Linked DNA regions of Danio rerio. Each later gene encodes a partner of the first gene's protein in a complex. Links are inferred from orthologs where the notes say so. Each region holds a gene or a part of one and is shown on either strand. Other genes may lie near its edges.

What was found. Proteins that work in one complex are often made in the same cells at the same time.
Region 2: yeats2 (region 1) and mbip share a complex: the UniProt entries of both Homo sapiens proteins name them as parts of the ADA2A-containing complex. The link is inferred for Danio rerio from reciprocal best matches to the Homo sapiens genes YEATS2 and MBIP.

The regions. Positions count from the first base shown.
Region 1 is NC_133177.1:47,775,878-47,786,074, reverse strand, and holds part of yeats2 (YEATS domain-containing protein 2), read right to left. Parts: intron 9,939-10,197; coding exon 9,826-9,938; intron 7,857-9,825; coding exon 7,695-7,856; intron 5,484-7,694; coding exon 5,372-5,483; intron 4,880-5,371; coding exon 4,835-4,879; intron 3,749-4,834; coding exon 3,553-3,748; intron 2,904-3,552; coding exon 2,682-2,903; intron 1-2,681. UniProt on the Homo sapiens protein: Chromatin reader component of the ATAC complex, a complex with histone acetyltransferase activity on histones H3 and H4. YEATS2 specifically recognizes and binds histone H3 crotonylated at 'Lys-27' (H3K27cr).
Region 2 is NC_133192.1:40,158,497-40,169,184, forward strand, and holds the start of mbip (MAP3K12-binding inhibitory protein 1), read left to right. Parts: upstream 1-5,720; 5' UTR 5,721-5,732; coding exon 5,733-5,885; intron 5,886-6,392; coding exon 6,393-6,509; intron 6,510-7,916; coding exon 7,917-8,129; intron 8,130-9,667; coding exon 9,668-9,764; intron 9,765-10,688. UniProt on the Homo sapiens protein: Inhibits the MAP3K12 activity to induce the activation of the JNK/SAPK pathway. Component of the ATAC complex, a complex with histone acetyltransferase activity on histones H3 and H4.

The DNA.
Region 1 (10,197 bases):
TTTTTTTTTTTTTTTTTCAGGAAAACAGTATCTCCTGCAGAAAAAAATATCCAAAGATGCCGTTTTAAATTGTAAAGAAATCTGTGTTTTTGAAACTAATGAAGACAGCAGAAGTCAATGATTCATTTGAATTAATTAGCCTGACGTGTTTACTGCTCCAAAATATCATAAATCTTTCAAAAAATAGAATATATTGTTTTCAAAGGGGAATTCTTTTGTTGTTTTTTTACCTAGACATTTAAAAAGAATATATTTTAGAGCAGTGAGCACAATTTTGTGATATTTTTATCCAAGTTTATCATACAGTCAGAATCTTAAACCAGCCCATGCCTAGTTATTATGGAGGGCAAACCGCCCTAAAATTTGAATATGTTACCAATATTTACCTTCTATTTTATTTTTAACATTTATTAAACACTATATTTGTATTTTTAATTTGTATAGACAACTTACATTACCCTTGTGCACTGTTCAAATGTTCTACCCTTTTATTATGTTCGGGATGAAAACATCCACTGTATTAAACTGCTGTAAAAATGCATCAGATAAATATTTTTTTCAAATTTGTTTTGCATAAATCTGTGAATCAACCTCAGTCCTGATCAAAACTACTAAATGTTTTTTTTTAAATTACACAATTTTATTTCTTTAATTGCCAAGTTCACAAATGATGTCTCTGATTGGGTGAAAAAAACACGCACAAAATGACATATTTTCAATATAACAAGTAATTTGGACTGGATTTTTTTCCCTTGGACAGTCTGTGAATGACAACAACATTGGTTTTGATGCATTGTTAGATTTTCATTTTTTCTCCCTAATTTACTGTTGGTGGCTGTTTTGCCTCATTGACTTACATTTTAACCACATTTGATGGTGCATACATTTTTTTTCGTTTACTCCATGTAGTTCTGGGAGCTGAGATGCATATTTTGATTTTCTCAAACAAAAGTGCACAAAGGTCACTAACACACTCACAGACACACTTTAATTTGCTGTTATACTTCATATAAAATTCAGAAACTAAGCTTTTTTTGCATAGGCCTATGAAAAGGGTTAATGCTGCCAACTGATGATCAACAGTAAAAATTACAAATTTTATCTCTTGCCAACAGGGAAAACCCCCAACAATCAAAAATGCATGATCATATGAGCTGCGTGCCAAATCATGGCACCCTGTACACTTATGCATTATGTACTTATGCACTTACACACTCAACAGAATAGTATATGTATATAGTGTCATCACAAATAAAACAATAATGTTTTTTTACTAAGTGGAAATTCAAATCGCTTCCCTGATGACGTTTGACGGTTGTCAAATTAATGAAATAAATGAGTATAACCGCACTTACCATCGGGAGGCGCTATAATCACTCTGCTAGTAGAATTTTGCTTTCACTATCCAAAATAAATAAAGTTATTTAACATGAGTGCCCTATAGTTCTGCCCCTTCCGCTACGTGATTAAAGCTGTGTTCATTGAGTGCATAAAGTGTCCAACATTCCACATTTCATTTTACTGGTTAAACGAGTGTCAACCGGGTAATTAAAGTGAACATTATTTTCAGTTTTAAGTATGAATACACTACTTGCACTATCCTATGTGATTTTGTGGTATAAATAGTGTAAGTATGCGATTTGAGAAGCACATATGGTGGCATGGTTTTGCAATCAAAAAAATGTGGTTATAATGAAAGTCAATGGAGAAAAATCAGCCACCAACTGTAAATTAGGGAGAAAATTTTCATTTAATCAAAAACAATGCATCAAAGCCAATGTTGTTACTAATCGTTCACATATCCAATACTTTGATAAAAGGTTAAAAAAAATTCAATCTACAATTACTTTTTATAATAAAAATACATAATTTTGTGCTTTTTTTTTTATACCAAATCAGTGACATCATTTATTAATTTGGCAATTAAAGAGTTAAATCATGCAATTTTCTAAGCAATTTAGTAGTTTTGATCAGGACTGAGGTTGATTAACAGATTTACGCAAAAAATAAAATAAAATTATCTATATATATATATATATATATATATATATATATATATATATATATATATATATATATATATATATATATATATATATATTTATTTATTTTTTTTTTTAATCTGATGAATTTTTATAGCAGTTCTTACCCAAATCACCCCAGAGTGGATGGAAACATCCCCAACAGTACTTAAGGCCTAACCTTTCTGACACACAGTTTGTGTTTTGAGCAGACATATTAAAACATCCATTATTCATTCATTTTACCATGGTGAATTAGGAAGAACAGCTGCTTCAAGACCAATCAGAAAATGTCATTTGACTTCCATTGGAGAACAAAACCCAACAAACATATGTGAGTGTTAAGAATTGTGGCAAACTGTTGTTTCCTGGTTTAAAATACCATAAGATGAGGACCACACTTCATAAAATATAGGTCTGGCAAGGCAAGGCAAGACTAGGACACATCAGGCTGAGCTCCTCTTGGATCTGCTGTCACACATTGACAGCAAATCTATAATGCATTACAGAGGAGTTTCTCAACTTTCAGATGGTCTCCTTTTCTCTACAAAAATCGAAATCACCAGCAGAAAAAAAGTGGAGCAACATGAAAGAGAATGTATACAGTGGATTTTACTGCTTGCATTTCAACTCTGCTCTTCTCCTCCCTATGAGACTCACCAGACACGATCTTGCAGCTCATCGTGATCGGCTGGAATGATGATTTCCCTGGTGACTCGGCAGCGCTGGGCACTTGCCCCTGTGGAATGATCTTACAGCTGGATGTAATTGGTTGAAATGCAGAGTTTCCGTGGGAACCAAGTGTAATTTTTTCAGACCTGTTTGACTGTGAAGTTTGTTCCAAACATGAAGGACGCACTGACTCACTTTTGACAGTGACACCTGGGGAAGAAATAAATGAATGAGAAAAAAACGATTCTTTAAGAAGTATAATTTGGAGACAGTTTAAGTTGTCACAAGCACAAAAAGCATTGGCACATAATTTATTTGTGCAGGCAAAGAATAATAAACAGACGATTAAATCACAGCTTCCACTTCTCATGCAATAAAGTGCAAATATCCTACTAATCCTCTCTTTATAAAAAGGATAGAGCAAGTGGGTAAATATATAAAAGCTGTGGCCACATTAATTTGAGCAAGTAGTACACGACAGTCATTCACCATGTTTATGTACATAATAGAATATGTCTGTTTGAATTTATTATCTTATACAGGATGTTTTTAAATCGAGAGATAAAAAGGAGAGGGATAAAACAAGATGATGAAGCACTGATAAAAACAGTGACTGCTCCATCATATTTCACATTTCTGTACAGAGAGGTCAAGTTTTGATCTTCTATTGGTCTCACGCAATGACAAAATGCAAACTTGGGAGGTCAGAGTTCACCAAGCTTGAACTTTGGACATGCAAAACTTGTCACACGAGCTTGCGTTTCTGATCTAGAACATTCGCATACATATAAATGGACATCTAAGAGGTGAAATTCTTTTGTGTAGACACTGTAAAATGGACAACCACGAGTCTGTCTACCTCTTTCTGAGCTGTGTTGATCATCATGAGCAGGATGAGAGGGAGAGGAGTTTCTCCTAGAGCCATGGATAGTTGAGGAGGAGGAGCCAGATCCGCCTACGAATGCTGGATAAGAAGATGATGATGAGGATGATGAAGGGGCAGAGGGGATGAAGTCATCACCCAGTGAGTTCCTGTAGAGCTGAACATCCACCACCTTCAGAGGAAAAAGACAAAGCAATTGAAAAATGGCATTTAAAAAAAATTACAAATCTGAAAAATAAAACACCAATGTCAAAAAAAGGAGTTTAGAACTATAAAACCTCTGCACTTTTACTGAAGAAACCTTCTTCACAAATATTTGAGCATACAGTATATTCTGAAAAGTTGGTTGAAATACAATGTAATATCAAGGTCAGAACCTAGAAACTAGGATTTATTCCATTTCTTATTTTCTTAAAAGTGAACAACATCAATAAATCTTCAGCTGACACATTCACTCATACTTTTCATTTACCTCACTGACACTTGCACTAACCAAAACTGCAGATTTGTGCTCGCCATCATTTTGAAGACTGACATTTTCATTACTATATTGACAGTCGAGACCTTGGCTTCTATTTTTAACAGAAGCTCATTTACACATGCTTATTGCACAAGTTAAACATTTCCTGTGTTAACCCAGAATTTAACCTAGAATTAAAAATGTACCATGAAATATCATTTTTATACTACACAAGACAAAATAATAAATGAAGTTACAGAAAATATCCAGTTATTAAAACATTAATATAGTGTTATTAATATTGTGTGTTGCCTACTTGAGCAGTAACGTCTGTTTGTAGCTTTTTGTGACAGTTGTGTTTCTTCAGGGTAGTACAGAATATAGGGGAAAAAAAAGCTTCCTTTAGCTTAGTCCCTTTATTTATTAGGGATCGCCACAGCGGAATGAACCGCCAACTTATTCAGCATATGTATTACACAGCGGATGCCCTGCCAGCTGCAACCCAGAACTGGAAAACACCCATACTCCCATTCACACACATACACTATGGCCAATTTAGTTTATTCAATTCACCTATACTGCATGTCTTGGGACTGTGGGGCAACAGTAAACTGACAACTGACAACCAGGACTCAAACCAGCAACTTTCTTGCTGCGAGGCGACAGTGCTAACCACTGAGCCATTGCGTCACCTCATAATTTTTCAACATATCTTGAATTTAAAAATAAAAAAACGTTCTATATAAACAAATTAGAATGGTCATATAAACTTATGAGTACAGCTTGTGTTTATCTTACCGTTTCAGCTCCCAAAGTCTGCAAACCTGTGTATGTTCGGTCAAGCTGATGGAGAAGAAATAAAAGAAGATTAACACTGACATCAAAAAACATTCAACAGTATTTGCAGTGGATGGCAGATGAAGTACTTCAACCCACAAACGTTTCTTTTTTCACACTTCATGCCCCTCTATTTAATCTTTTTTTTTTCTACCAAGAACAAAAGAGATTGCTGTGACAAGAGATAAAAGAAGAAAGGAAATCTAAACAGACAGACTGCTTTAAAAAAATCCACCTTTTTTACCTTTAGATTAGAAACACCATGTATAAAATAATGGATTCGTACAGACATATTCTATTCTGCACAATTCGCAGAAACAAAACATCCTCTCAGTGAATAATATCAAAGACATGGAGGTGGATGCAAGTCATCTACTGCTTGAATTCCTCACAGATGAAAGTACAAAGCAAAAGAAAGAGGGGGAAAAGGAAAGACGAAAAGGGCAACAAAAGGGGTTCAAAGACAGCGTGCGTGCAAGCGGTCAGCAAGTGTCTGACCTTTAAGTGGTGGATGATGTCGATACGTTTGTTCCGTTGGTCTTTAAAGTGGATCTGCACACGGACAGGAAACTCTCCCCACCCTCGACGGGTCAGGTGAAACGGTGGCTCACTAAACACACAGATTTGACAAATGCACCACAGTTAGAGATACAATCACCTCCTCTAGAGGGCACTGCCTGTTCTGTATTGATAAAAACTTAAAAATAGAATATTGCACCTTTGCTAAAACTGGAGTCATTTTTTTAAATGAAATACTTTAGTTGAATATTTAAGCAAAGCAAGAATTATTAAGACTCAAAGGTGACAATAAAAGCATTTTATTCCTGTTACAACATAAATACAGTTGTTGTAAATATTCTATTAACAATTTGTTGTAGTTTCTTCAATAAAATTAAGCTGCAAACGTTTTAAACATTTTTAATGATAAGAAACGTTTCTTGTATCAATATATTAAACATATTACAAAAGAATTTAAAAAATCCTACCAACTACAAACATGAGTGTACAATAAGACTCTTGAGTCTTGTTTATATCTGTTATCAAAAGGTTAGTTTACACCAAAAAATTAAATGTCTGTTACACATTACTAACCCTCATGTCATTCCAACCCCCCCAAGACCTTTGTTCATCTTCGGAATACAATTGAAAATATTTTGGATGAGATCTAAGAGCTCCATCATCCTCCATAGACAGTAATAGACTCAATTTGTTAAGAAAGTCTCCAATAACATCCTTAAAAATGTCCATGTGCCTGCAGTGGAATAAAGGATTAAGTCAAAAAGAAAATGAATAAAGTTATTATGAGGATAGAAGGTCTTGTGCTTTTGAAACAACATAAGAGTGAGTAATTAATAACATAACTTTCATTAAACTAACCCTTTAAGATGCATTTTTGTCAATCAGATCATCAGTGCACAACGCTAAACATGGGTGTAAACAGGGTTTTTATTTTTGAACAATGACAGCCTTCCTATACTGTTTACCATGCTACTCTGAATATTCGCTCTGAAATAGCATGCAAGTGTGGCTAAGTAATAAATGTAATTCCTGCACGGCGCTGGCTAAACACTAACTAACTGGCGAATGACATGAACTAGTGTGTTGTCTGTCTGCTGTTGTGACGCGGTGCGCACGCTCGCGATTTCGGGGGGTGTGGCTTTGAATCCCAGTCCCTCCCTGCTGTCCAAAGATAATATGCTAAGTGGTTAGCATTTTGGCAGATCACCTACTGCACCTTTAAACAGAACCTGAAGCAGCACTTGATAATTACAGACGGGTGTGTTTGGTCAGAGTTGCAACTGAAATTTGTAGGAAAGTATTGCCCTTTCTCAATATGCATTCTTCAGCGATCTTGCGCCCTCGTGTTCTCGGGTAACAGCATCATCAACAGCCAAAGTTCAGTTCCAAAACTCAAGACTGCAAGAGCAGAGGACATGTGAAAGTTCCTGGATGTGTTCTTGATAGAGGACACCTCGATGCAGACTTGAGCACAAAACTCGCTTGAGAAGTCCCAGAAGGCATTTCGACTGAATAAAGAAGGTGGGGAGTGCAGCATCTGATATAGATTTAATATTAAAGTTCGGAGATGTGACTAATTTATCTCAGGAGTTACCCTAAATGAGACGGTGAAAGTAAACATTTCCATGAAAATCTTTATAAAGGCATGAACAGATTAAGGGTGTTTATTTGCTGAAATTCATATTAAAATTTGTTTTATTTGTATTGTGCAACATACATTTATAATGTCTTTATGCATAGTACATATAGTGAAAGAAGGAAAAACAATAAAGCGTTGTATGAATGCTGAGATTTTTAAATAATGTTCTATTAAAAACGCGTGAAGATCATGTGACCATCAGGAAGAAAGCAGCATCTCATTTCTCACAGGACGCATTCTCTGTTCTCTAAGTTCATTTTTACGAGGTAACTCCACAAGAACTCCACAAGTACGCTAGTACGTTATCTCTGCGTTCTTGGAATTGAGAAACAGCCTAGCTCTCCAGGACCAGTGTTGGTAGGCCCTGGTCTAGAAAGGTTGTTGAAATTCCAGAGGTAGTAAAACATTTTATCGAGTTGCTTTCATAATAAAAATGCTCATGTGGTTAAAAAAAATTCAATGATTCAGTGATGTAATTTAGCTGACCCCATAATATGTTAATATCACATATAAACAAAGCTTCAGTGTTGTTAGGTGCAATTTGAATTAATGAAGTTCAAACTATTACTACAAATTATCCAAAGATGGTCATGTTGAAAAAAGCCTGAACAGTGAGATGAAATCAAAGCAGATGGATGAATCGGGTGGAATGTAAACACACACCTGACTTCCACGAGGTCATTGGGCTTGTAGCTGGGGTGCAGGAAAAACCAGACCTTCTTCACAAAGTGATCAATACTGGGCTCCTTACGAGAACCTCGAACGTACACCATCCACTTATGAGTGGACTGATCATTCTCCTCACGTTTATCAGGGGCAATATACCTGGAACAGAGAAAAAAAAAGTCTCAAAAACGGGTCTCTTGCTGCGTCCTAATTCGCATACTTATACTACACCCGAAAGTATGTACTTTTTTGAGAGGGAAAAATATATACTTTTGAGTGTGTGACAGAAGAGTGTGCTTTGGGACATACTACTTTTTCGTTAACAGATCGTTATGTTGCTTAATTATGAGCCCTGTCAAACATCCATGTCATCCTATCTCTTATTGGAGAAGCAGCGGCAGGTTAGGTCTTTCATGCAGAGAAATCTCCTCCGGTCTTTGGATAATTATGCATTCAGATGGTAATCTCCAAACATATCTTTATATAAGCGCAGTATTGTTGTTGCAGATGAAATATAACACAGAAAACACCATTTAAATATTTTCCAGTGGGCTAGATATTAATTAACAGTCATTCAAACAACTTTAACAAAGCTTTTTACTTGACGGTTGGTCTCGCAAGTCCACCATGTATGTAGTTTATTTACACTTTTCATCCATGTTAGTAGTTCTCATCGAAATCATGTCCAATGCACCAATACTGTGGACAATATCAGCAATTAGAGTATGGACGGTTCTGCACTTAAAATTTTTACCGGAAATAGTAAACCATCCGGGAACCTTTGGCATACTTTTTTCAACATACTACGATTTGGGACATACTAATTGTATTTTCAAATACTATTTAGGAAGGATAGTATGCGAATTGGGACGCAGCATCTGTTTTTTAGAAACAGAAAGAAAACAAATTGCATGAACTACCCATTAACTGTCATAAAAGCCAACTCTTCAGTAACATATTTAAATACTGAAACTGCAAAATTCAAAAGGCAACTGCATGGTAGCATTTTTGCCTTCAGCACAGATAAAAGTTAAGCTTATTTGCACATTTCTTTTCAACTCAGTGCGTGTCGTATATTTTCAGCTACCTGCCACAGTAATGTGATTTGTGCTCTTCATTTTAGGTTTCTAGGGAAAGGAAATCATCTGCTTCACACATAATGGTACAATGTGGAATTGTTTAGAAACGCTTTATTCAGACAAACAGCTTGAGTTCATGTTTTTTTTCAGCACAATGGCCCAGGAGTAAACAGTGTCATAAAGATCTTTAGTAGCTCTGCATGGAAAAAAGTCAGCTTATAGCATTGCTCATACAAAGACACACACACACACTTGTGTCTCACTCACATGCCTTGAGTGAATTTTATGAGGTAAAGTAGACGTGGACTGTGTGATAATGCAGAATAAATGAGGTTAGATTGCTGCCTAGGGGAAACTAAAGCTTTGCTTTTCACCATGTGAAGGTTTATTGGGTTTCAGAGAAATAATAATGAGACTTTCCAGAGAAAGTGATACATTTAAAAATGAATACAAGCTCGGAGAAATAAATATTTCTCCTCATAAAAGCCTGTGGAAATAACAAATGGTTGGAAATATAATGGTTTAAGATTAATTCAAAAATGAATATTCTGTTATTATTTACTAACCAATAAGTCACCTTAACACTTCTTTCTTAATGTTCTCAATCACACTTTTCCACTTCAGGTGTGCTAGGCCCAAAGTAAGAAATTCTTTTTGAATTTAAGTCGTCTGATGCCATACATTTTTATAGACTACAATTAAAGAGCATGGCATATGTGATCAAGTCAATCCAGACCTCTCTTTTTCATATTCCAAAGTCATAGTGTCTAGGGTACCATGAAAATATCTTAATGATCTAATGTTCATTTTTGGCTAAACCATCCCTTTAAGGATTGCAGAACCAAGTATAAAGCTTCCTCAAGTAAAGCTTTACTCAAGGCCACACCAGTATTATTCAGAAAGGAAGACCAAAAACATTAAAAACCTTTTAACTGCAACTCTTTTCCACCACAAACAATTGATGAAATTGTTGTCAGTTTTATAGTAATAGTAAAAATAGAATTAGCAATAAAATACTCTATACTATATAATAGGTAAAGATCTCATACTTGGATACGTTTCCGACAACAATGGTTTTCTTCATGTAGAGTCGAGAAGCATCATCTCCTGTAGTGTGATAAGTAACATGCTGCTCTATAGATGATGGCACACCAAATGTGTCCTATAAATGAGAAAATAATAATAAATGTCACTATCAAATCAAGTATGCATTGAGCATTTCAGCTGTAAAATCTGTATATGTGAACATAGGATAAAATCAGCTTATTCCAATTATATGAAATAAATATAGAGGAATTTTAGGAATGTCTACTGGGATTTTAGAAAGCTATTTTAATATCCAAGGAAAAAATATAAAAAATATTTACAAATTTTACACAAAATTCAAATAAGAATCAATATAATTATTTTAAAAATGCACA
Region 2 (10,688 bases), on another chromosome or scaffold:
TTGAAGCAAAACACAATACACAAATTGTTCTTAATTGTTGTAATGATCAGGCCACTTATTTGAAAATATATTATATGCACAGACCTCATACATCAACCTTTTGAAAAGTACACTTTATTCAATTCAATTCATCTTTATTTCTATAGCGCTTTTGCAATGTAGATTGCGTCAAAGTAGCTTAACATAGAAGTTCTAGTAAATCGAAACTGCGTCAGTCCAGTTTTCAGAGCTGAAGTTCAGTTTAGTTCAGTTTCGTGTGGTTTCATTTTCACTGTTAAAAGTTCAAACACTGAAGAGCAGCTACACAAATCCCAAATCAAGCAAGCCAGTGGCGAGAAACAAAACTTCACCAATTGACAAAAGTGAAAGAAAAAGCCTCAAGAAAAACCATTATCAGATGGGCACGACCATTTCTCCTTTGACCAAACTTTTTGTGCAGAGCTGCACAAAAGACTTTATGGTATGACTGCAGGTTAATGTGTATATACAGTCCACTCTATACACAGAAACTTAATGCATATTTTAAGCTGCTCTGGAATGATAATTATTGTGAAAAGCGCTAAAAAAATAAATCTGATTTAAATCTAATCATTTGTTTGAAACTTTTTTATTTATTCTGAACATTTATGCTATAGTGCAATACACAAAATGTATCTGTGATTGATATGTAAAATGATCTTTTTGATATTACACCTGTTAGGGGAAATCCAGTTTGTCAATATTGTTTGTGATAACACCATATATTGTAATAAAAGATTCACCACTTGATTTAAAATTTGATTCCGTCACATGCCTTTAATTTACTCACCTTCGGCCAATCCAAGATGCAGAGAGGCTTTTCGTCGTTAGTCGAACATTAAAGAAGATTTCTGGGGTTCTTATGTCCGTGGCTACAAACACTTTGAGAGTGAAACAAAAACATACAGGTAAAACAAAATACCAGTGGCTCCTGATAATACATTTTGTGAAGCAAATCAATCTGTACAAAACAACAACTGAACATTGTTTACAATTTTACTAGTGCTGCACAATGTATTATATCATGAGTCTATAATAGTCACATCGCAGGGATCTGCAATGTAGTCAGGATTATAGTTGACCAGATACTACCGTTAACACCATAGTGAAGTAATTACAAAACATATGTTTCAAGTGAAAGTTTATAATATGCATATGTTTTAAGGCCTGGCTGTAAGAATTTTTAACCTAAACATTTGGAAACAATAAATTAAACGTTTATAGCTTAAAGGTCAATTGTACATATGTACTCAATTAAAACAATATAGTGTTATGATTATTATTATTATTAATATTAATATTATCATCATTATTATAGTGATTCCTTAATTCCTGCTTCTGAATACTCTTTAACTCCCAAAAAAATTATAAATCTTTGGTTATTTGCATCTTTTGTAGTTGTTTTGTACTGTTGTACTTAACTATGCTTGTCATTTTAAAGGATACCAATATTTCACCCCTTTTTAAAATTTAAGATAAGTCTTTTGTGTCTCCAGAGTGTGTCTGTAAAGTTTCAGCTTAAAAAAAACAGCAGATTAGTTATTTATACATTTTAGAATGTTGGAATGTTCTACTCTAAACACGATTTAGCTGCTTTTGTGGCCTGTGCCTTTAACGCTGGTTCTCCCTGCCCACCGTTCCCACCTGCCTGTCAGACGTGGACAATTCCATATCAGTTTAGAAATAATCATAACCGGTTATTATGTACTGACGTCATTTATTTCATATGCTCTCTGTCGCGAGGAAGACGAGCACAGTATTTACAACACTCCAGGGGCCTGTTTCAGTTAGGAGGTTCAAACAACTCAGAGTTTAAACTTGAACTCTAAGTTGATTTACCGAGAGATTAAAAACTCAGAGTTTTCGGTTTCAGAATAGCGGATCTAAATTAGGTCAATCAACTTTTAGAAGACCAACTCAGAGTTAAGCGCGCACACTGACTATTAAAAGGCATTATCAATGGAGCGCAGATATTACGAGTGACAATGGCAACATCTTTAAAAAAGAGATCACCATTTCTTTCTCCAGCTGAACTTGAAGTGATCATGCAACGTTATAGCAAATGAGTGTATATATTTTTAAAACGAAGCAACCATCAGTGAAACAGAGACAGTTAGCCTGGGAAAACAGCTGCTCAAGTTAATGCGTAATTTTACATTTAAAATATTTAAATATTTAAGTATACTAAAATAAGTAATTTAATGTGTGATGTTTATACATTTTTTACTTTTTTACTTTTATACACGTTTATCCGTTTTAATAGATTTAACAGTGCACTTGTGTGTCTGCCTTTTTTTCTTGATCAAGTGATAGAGTTTGATATAACATTTAGAAGGTAAGCAGTACCAAAAATAATTTTTAGAAAGAATAATAATTCCATTAATCTAGTTACAGTACATGTCGAAGGTCAATTAATTTAAGCTAATTATTTATTGTTCTGTGTGCGACTAAAAGGTAGGCAATATCTATGTTTTGATCCAAATATATTACATAAATGTATGTGCAAAACTGGAATATTTTATAAAAGATGCGAATAAAGCAGCGTTGCGATCCAATGAGTCAAAGAAAACAAAATCGTCACTTCCTGATTAACTGGCGCTAAATATCAACAGTAAAATCAGAATTTACTGTGGTAGAAGAAGCTGCGTCAATTATTTATTTAATAAATGTACTTGCGTCTCAGAAGACAATGAACACGTGGGGTGTTTGAAGTCATGAAACGCGAAGACTCTTGACACGCTCTAGATGCTCAGATGTAATAATATACACTAATACTTAAACAGTTAAGCCATTTTAGAATGACTAAAACAACATTTAAGGCGTGCTACAGTGTGCTCAGCCTGCTGGTTTGTCCATTCACACACATTTTCATCATCATATAAAAGACCTTTTTTTAATGTACATACTGTAATTTGTTCAGCAAAAGTGTTTCCATCGTAGTTTATGCACATATTTTCTATCGAATAAGTTAATCCTGCTCAATTATGCATGTTTTTTATGCATATTATTAAAAGTTAAGTGCATCATGATGTTTCCATCAATCGTTTTTTATGCACATATCCAAAATGAGCATTAAAATAGGTGGGTGGAAACGAAAGGCTAAGGCGAGAAATACCGCTTCGTCTTTAAAAAAGTGGAGGAGACCGACAGAAACTCTGAGTTTAGAAAATAAAACCTGCTCCTGACCAGGTTAGGTTCACAGAGTAAGTTACCACAGTAACTGACTCTGAGTAAAAGTTACCTCTCTTTTAGAAACAGGCTTGACTTACCCTGCTTTCTCAAGTTTAACAAACCTGCCATTTTGAAACAGAAAACCCCAGAGTTTCTCTCATTTCAGGGTTAAAATACTCTGAGTTTTACTTAACCTCCTTTCTGAAACAGGCCCCAGGTGCCAACTAATTAAAAACGCAGAAACTGTGCACAATTTCACTGCATGTGTTTGCTTTCTGGACAGTCTTTCACTGACACTTACAGCAGAAGCCATATTTCTCTGCGATTTAGGGAATGAAAGTGAACTCCATTTCTCTCTCTCTCTGTGGCCCATTTCACCTGCTGGCGTGACTTTTCCTCTCGGCTGCTGGTGTGACTTTTCCTTCCCTCTCTTTTCCTCTCGGCTGTTACAACGATACTTCTGGATATAAGTCTGCATTCCCGTGGCTGTACCTGTACACTGTCGCGAGACCAAAAAAAAATTTATTTCCAAATAAAGCGCGGGAGCGGTCTGTAACTCTGGTGTAATTTGAACAGGAGTGGGCGGTCTCACAATATCGCTCCCGAGCGAGCAAGCGAGCAAGCAAGCAAGTGCACGTGTGTGTGTGTGTGTGTTTATTTGATTGGTGCTGTCTATGTTTGTGTGTGTATGTGTGAGAGACAGTGTAATGCTATGTGTCTATGTGTGTTTTTAAACAGACAGCTTGTTATAGCCCCCGCCAAAAAATATAACACTGTGTATGGAAAGCATCATCAATGCACCAAGATACCGAATTGAACCAAATCGATGGCATGATAATCGTAACCGAACCAAACCATGAGACCAGTATAGGTTCACACCTCTAATCAATAATATCGATTTTTATTTACTTTAACGACAAAATGTCAGTAAATAGCGCTATTCTGCCTAGCCTGCTTTACTGAGCTGAAGTTGGTTTTATATTCACATCACATTGGTTCATTTTTGAACAATGAAAACCTGTGAAGCGCCCTCTATATTGTTTACCCTTCTACTCTGAATATTCAGTCTGAAACAGCATGTAAATGTGACTTACTAATAAATGTAATTCCTGCACATCGCTGACCAATCACTAAGCACACAGGTGTCGATTTAGGACAAAACGCGTAAGAGAGAGTAAGGCCAGCGATCCTTGCATGTATGAAATATTGAACATTATGAAGTTTTGCTTGCAACACTGAAAACATGCTAGATATAAAGCAGTTTTTCATTGGGAATTTTAGTATTATAAAGTACTATAAACTTTTCTAACTGGTGAATGACATGATCTAGTGGGTCTCTGTCATCTTTAATGTGCGTGTTTGTGATAACAGGAGGCGTGGTTTTGGCCAGCAGTGGAGAGATTGAATTTAAAAAATATTATGCTAGCCGGTTATCATTTAGGCTGATCCCCTAATGCACATTTAATATACACTGCCTGAATTAATGTCCACAAACCAGGATTGAGGAGTCTTTTATATTATTGTACTGACATGCTGTTGTGGTGATAAAGACGGCATAATCTCTGTAATTCATTACAAACATGCACTGTTTTAAAAACTTTTTAAACTTGTAAAACTCACTCTCGATCACATTTGATGATGACTGATGATCACAGAAAGCTGAACAGATCTTTTAATCCCAGTTGCTTTGCACACTTTGTGCCTTGTTGATATGATTATGCGTATTACTACTAATACATGTTAGTACGCGGCTGTCAATCAATTCGGTGGACAGGGAAACCGCCCTCCTATGTCACGATGCGGTGGGCCTCAAAATAGGAGGGATTTAAATCCTATTTTAACATTAAGAAATTTTTTAAAAAGAGACCTATTGTCTTTATATCACCTTAATATGACTGTGGACACACACTATACCTATACACAGTTCTGTCCAAACAGATTAGAAAATATTATTTTCATCATAGGTGCCCTTTAAAATTATATTTTATGCAGATATGCTCCACTACACAATAACTCAATTTTAGCAAGCTATTCATCTGGTGAAATTGCATTTATATCGCAATATATATCACAGTGAATGAAAATATTGCAATGTCAGTTTTTTCCAATATCATTTAGGCATACATTTTTTATTTACAGGCCTTTACCTTTAACGTTACACAACCTTTTGAACCCTATTTGTTTGTCTGGGTGTGTGTATTTTTAAATAGCTTTTTAAAGAATGACATGAAATGATCAGGTAAATGCATTACCCTTGGCATATACATAAAAACCCGTTTCATTTTAGTCATATTGATAAATTGTAATGTTAAATGCGATTTAAAAACACAAAAGGGTGAAACAGAAGATTGTTTTGTGACGGACAAAATAATAAACATTAAACACGGTCAATGTCAATATTTAAACTATCGAAATAAAGTAATTTACCTTCGTTTATATTTGCAGTAGTCAATTTTAAATGCTCGTTATTTTGCTAGCGGAAGTGAGGTCATGTTATGCAGGAGACCGTTGGTCCAATCAGCGCAGCAGCCGGGAGCGGAAGAATGATGGCGGCGGACGGCGAAAGACGCGGTGCGTGTGCTGCAAGTAAACAAGAGCAAAGCAGAAGCCAGATTTCACTTCATGCAAGACAAAGGGATGCTTTCAGAGACTGCGTTGCCTCTATTGTCGACTCCCTCGCTGAGCTTGGAGTAAAGGTTTGTTTAAAAGCAAATTCTGCCACGGTGTCACTGTTTGGGATAGAGCTCTTAACAGTCATATTTGTAACGTTATTTCATTTGAGATGCCAAAAGCTAAATATGTAACGTTAAATTATGGAACTTTTCCGAAGTAACAAGATCACCCATGTCGTAAAATTATATGATTTGTCCGCGCTAATATGATTTGTTTCAATCACTTAGATAATTTGTCTGTACTTGTCTGCAATAAGTTGTAATATGCAATATTTCCACTGTCACTGCTGAAATAATCAGCCTGTCCTGGAGTTTTTATAATGGTCTCATATGTTTCTTTTCTGGATTTTTATTCAATTTTTAGCTGGTTTTACTCCCTGCCTCCCCAGCTGACAAGTGCCTAAAATCTTACTACTCATTTAACAAACCATATTGACCAGCGAAATAAACCACCTAGTCTGTTTTAGGCATCTTTTCTGCATTGACAATTTAGAAACCACAACAACAACAAAAAACTGTCTTATTTTCCAGTTAAAAATAGATGATAACGCATTGAAAATCAGTGCCAATGTCAACAATGTGAACATCTGTGAGCTTCAGCCATCTCATGTGCACTCCTGTTTACAACAGCACATCTCCAAACTACAGGTAAACAGAGTCATGTGCATTATAACATTTACTAACACACATAGCTGATTTTTTAAGTATAAAGATATCTTCTGAACCTTTAAATAGATCTTGTAAGTGAATTTTGTTTGCCATTTATTTGTTTACTTATCTGTAATGAACCTTATCCAGAGAATTGGTGAACATTTGTTTCCACAATGGAATAAAAAATTAAACCCATTATGTCACAATTGTAATTCAGAGAATATCATCAGTATTGCCAGAAGGAAACATGATATATTATTGGTGGAAAAGTCAGAATTTTATAATGCTATTTAATATTTTATCTTGCATTTTGACTTTTTATGTTAGAATAGGGACTTTATTGCCCACAAATCTTCATTTGTATCTCACATTTTTGATAAAACGTTTAAATTACAAGATATAAATTATTATAAACGAAGTCAAAACCATTTGAAACCCTGAGATGCAGAGTAACAATACTGAAAATAGTCAGAATTACGAGATAATGTTCATCATTTTCAGTTGCAAGTATCAAATCACAATGCGTTGAAGAAAAGTCACAGTTATCCTTACTTATTTGTTTTTTCTTTGGTGGAAACAAGCTTTTGCTGCAATGTTTTTATTTTATGAAATTAAGGCTTTGAGGGATAGAAAGTAAGTGCACTCTTTTAGTTGATCATTAAAATATATAAAATACATAGTACTGACTCATGTTTATTTATAATTAATCACATCCAAATTCAAAGCTTGTGTGTGTGTGTGTGTGTGTGTGTTTGTGTGTATGCATGTATGTATGTAAGTGTGTGTGTGTGTTTGTGTTCGCGTGTGTGTGTGTGTGTGTGTGTGTGTGTGTGTGTATATATATATATATATATATATATATATATATATATATATATATATATATATATAAATATATATATATATAAATATGCTATTTATTAAATTTTTTTGAGAAAATGTTTATTTACATTTACATATAAAATATATATAATATTTTTTATTGTAAAATTAAGTTTTATGTATATGTGTGTTTTAAATATGCATACTACACACACACATATATATTATGTTACAACGTATTTATATTTTGGTCACGGTTTACTACGATTAATCGTTGCCCTGCACTATTAAATTCATATTATGCAAGTGGAATAATGTTGTTTCCTGAATAATGTTCTTAAAATGTAAATATGTTCAGTGTTTTTTGCAAAACAAAAACTGACAGGGCAAAATGAATCCTTTGTCCTTCAAGATGGTTCTCTGATTAGCTTATCAGCGTTTTTTTTTTTTTTAAATGTATATGACCAGCATTACTGCACATTATCTTCTGACTCCTTGCTAAGACACAGTTTATCATTATAAAGACACTGTAAGACTGTCTTTTACCACATTGTTTTTTTTTTATTAACCTTCTGCTTCTAGTCGGTCTCTGAGAGTTTGAAGCAGATAGTGGAGTCTGAGGCAAATAACTGTACAAGTTCCAACCCAGACATCGGTGAAAGGAAAGAAACTGCACATACATCTGAGCAGATGTTTACTGATGATCCTCTTACATCTGACCACTGTGCTGCCCTTGAGGATCGAAACAGGACTCAAATCGATGATAACGTGCAGATCAAGGCTGCTAAATCAGAGGTAAATTTATCACTTCAAAATGTAGGCATATTTTACACAAATCACAGTTGTATTTATTGGAATATTTAAACAAGTAAGTGATCATATGAATATTTACAAATTGGGGTAAAACGTAGTGGTTTTGAAGGATAGTTGCAAAATATAAAGATTAAAAATGACAATTAATGACAATTTTTTATTATTATTATTATTATTATTTTTTTTTGGAGCATCCGTTATGTAGTGTTTTTATATGTCATCAAATGATTCCTATTCGAAATATGTTTGGCACCGATGACGTAGTGGTTAGTGCATCAACAAATGCACTCACGGCGGTGATCACGGCGACCTGAGTTCGATTTCCACCTTGAGGTCCAATGCCGACCCTTCCTCTTTCTCTCTGCTCCCCATGCTTTCTTGGTAATAGTCTCTACTGTCCTGTTTGTTGATAGTAAAAACTCTGAAAAAATTATTATTAAAAAAAGAAATATGTCTGGCAAAGTTGTTTTGATACATAAACCATTGTTTCAGTGAATTAAATTTTAGTGTGCATCTTCTAAAAATCTTAATAAAATGTGCTTTACATTATTTTAATAACGCATTTTAATTAAGAAAAATATTACCCTTTTATTTTCTAATCAAATCAAATCTAACCAAATAATTTTGTCATAATATTATAAAACATATATATATATATATATATATATATATATATATATATATATATATATATATATATATATATATATATATATATATATATATATTTTTTTTTTTTTTTTTTAATATATATATATATATATATATATATATATATATATATATAGTTTAAATCAAAATGTCAAATGTAAAATCTTTTTTCATCCAAGAGCTATTTTCAGTTTTAATGCAGTAAGTCATAAGTACATTGCTACGTATTAAGATAATTTATTTAGTTGAATAGTTTATTGTTTTCATTTTTATTTACCAATGATTATTGTTAGTCTGAACATTTATTTTTGTGTGTTAAAGCAATCTCTTCTCCCAAAACACAATTAAAGTCAATTGCTTGACAGTCAGAATGTATTATTTGCATGTAATCTGCCCCAGTTGGTCAGTCATATGCAGTGTGAATTGCCATCTGTGGACAGACAGTTGAGAATGAATGAAAGGCTCCTTCACCACTTTTCCTTCAGAAAGAAACAAATAGCCACCCACTTTGAGAGTCCTGAGAGAGGTCCTGGTCCTTGCAACGTTATGAAGTGGATGTTCATTACACGCTGAAATTGCATGTGGGCGAAGGACAAGGAGGCCCTCATTTTTATTGCTTATTTATTTACAGTCACTGTAATAAAAGGCCCAAGCAAATCACAACTATCTGAAACGGTTACGTGTGAGAAATATTTTGATTTTTGGAATAATTGTGTCCACCCTGGTCACTTGTTAGTCATGCAGCCCGTACGGCCTAGCGGTCCTCATTATAACTAAACAGCAAAAAAGAAGACAGTGAATTGATTTTTTTGTTCTTCAATAGCTCATCAGCCTGACCCTCATTGCTCTCTCTCTCCTCATTTTCTCAGATTGAACGTAGGATATCTGCATTTATAGAGCGCAAACAGCTGGAGATCAATGAAAACAATGTGAGGGAGTTTTGCAACGTGATCGACTGCAATCAGGGTGAGAATGGGAGGGTATGGGCGGCAGGGGGGTGGTCAAAGGTATACTGCACAACAATTGCCAATGTTTGTAAGAGTGCTGATTTTCACTGACGTGAGGTCAGAATTCAACTGTCATTTTCACAGAAAATTCTACAAATAAAATCTATTATTGTTAGTGCTGTCAAACGGTTAACTATATAAATAATCCAAAATAAAAGTTTGTATTTACATAACATTCATGGCAGTTTTTCTGAGGCTTTTTAAATGTTAAATTCATATCAACATTATATCTTCATTTATTTATTTTATTTTCAGCTTAGTCCCTTTATTAAACAGTGGTCGCCACATCAGAATGAATATATATATGTATATACACACACACACACACACACAAACACACACACACACACACACACACACTTAAACAAGGCATTTACGCCCATAGAACTTGCACTCACTGGATGTTTCCTTTTTCAGACCAAGTAGTAACATATCAGAAAACCCTTTAAATCAGCAGCTTTCTATCCTGATCCTGGGAATCCACATTTGTACTGAGCATCTTATACACACTCAGTACAGCAACTACACCCATTCTTGTCTACAATATTATTTAGAAAAACTGTTTTGATCCACTTCAAACGTTGACAATTATATATACATATAAGCCATTTTCACCTATATAACTTGCACTAACTGGATGTTTTTTTTTTCAACCACTCTCTGTAAACCATAGAGACTGTAGGGCTTGAAAATTCCAGTAGATCAACAATTTCTGAAACACTCAACCATATTCAGAGTCCCTTACCCAAAACAGAATATTCTGTAATAATTTACTCACCCTTCACTTGATCCAAACCTGCTTCTGTTGAACGCAAAGATATTTTGAAGAAAGCTGGAAACTCATAGCCAATGACTATGGCCAGACAGAATCTGCGGACAATTT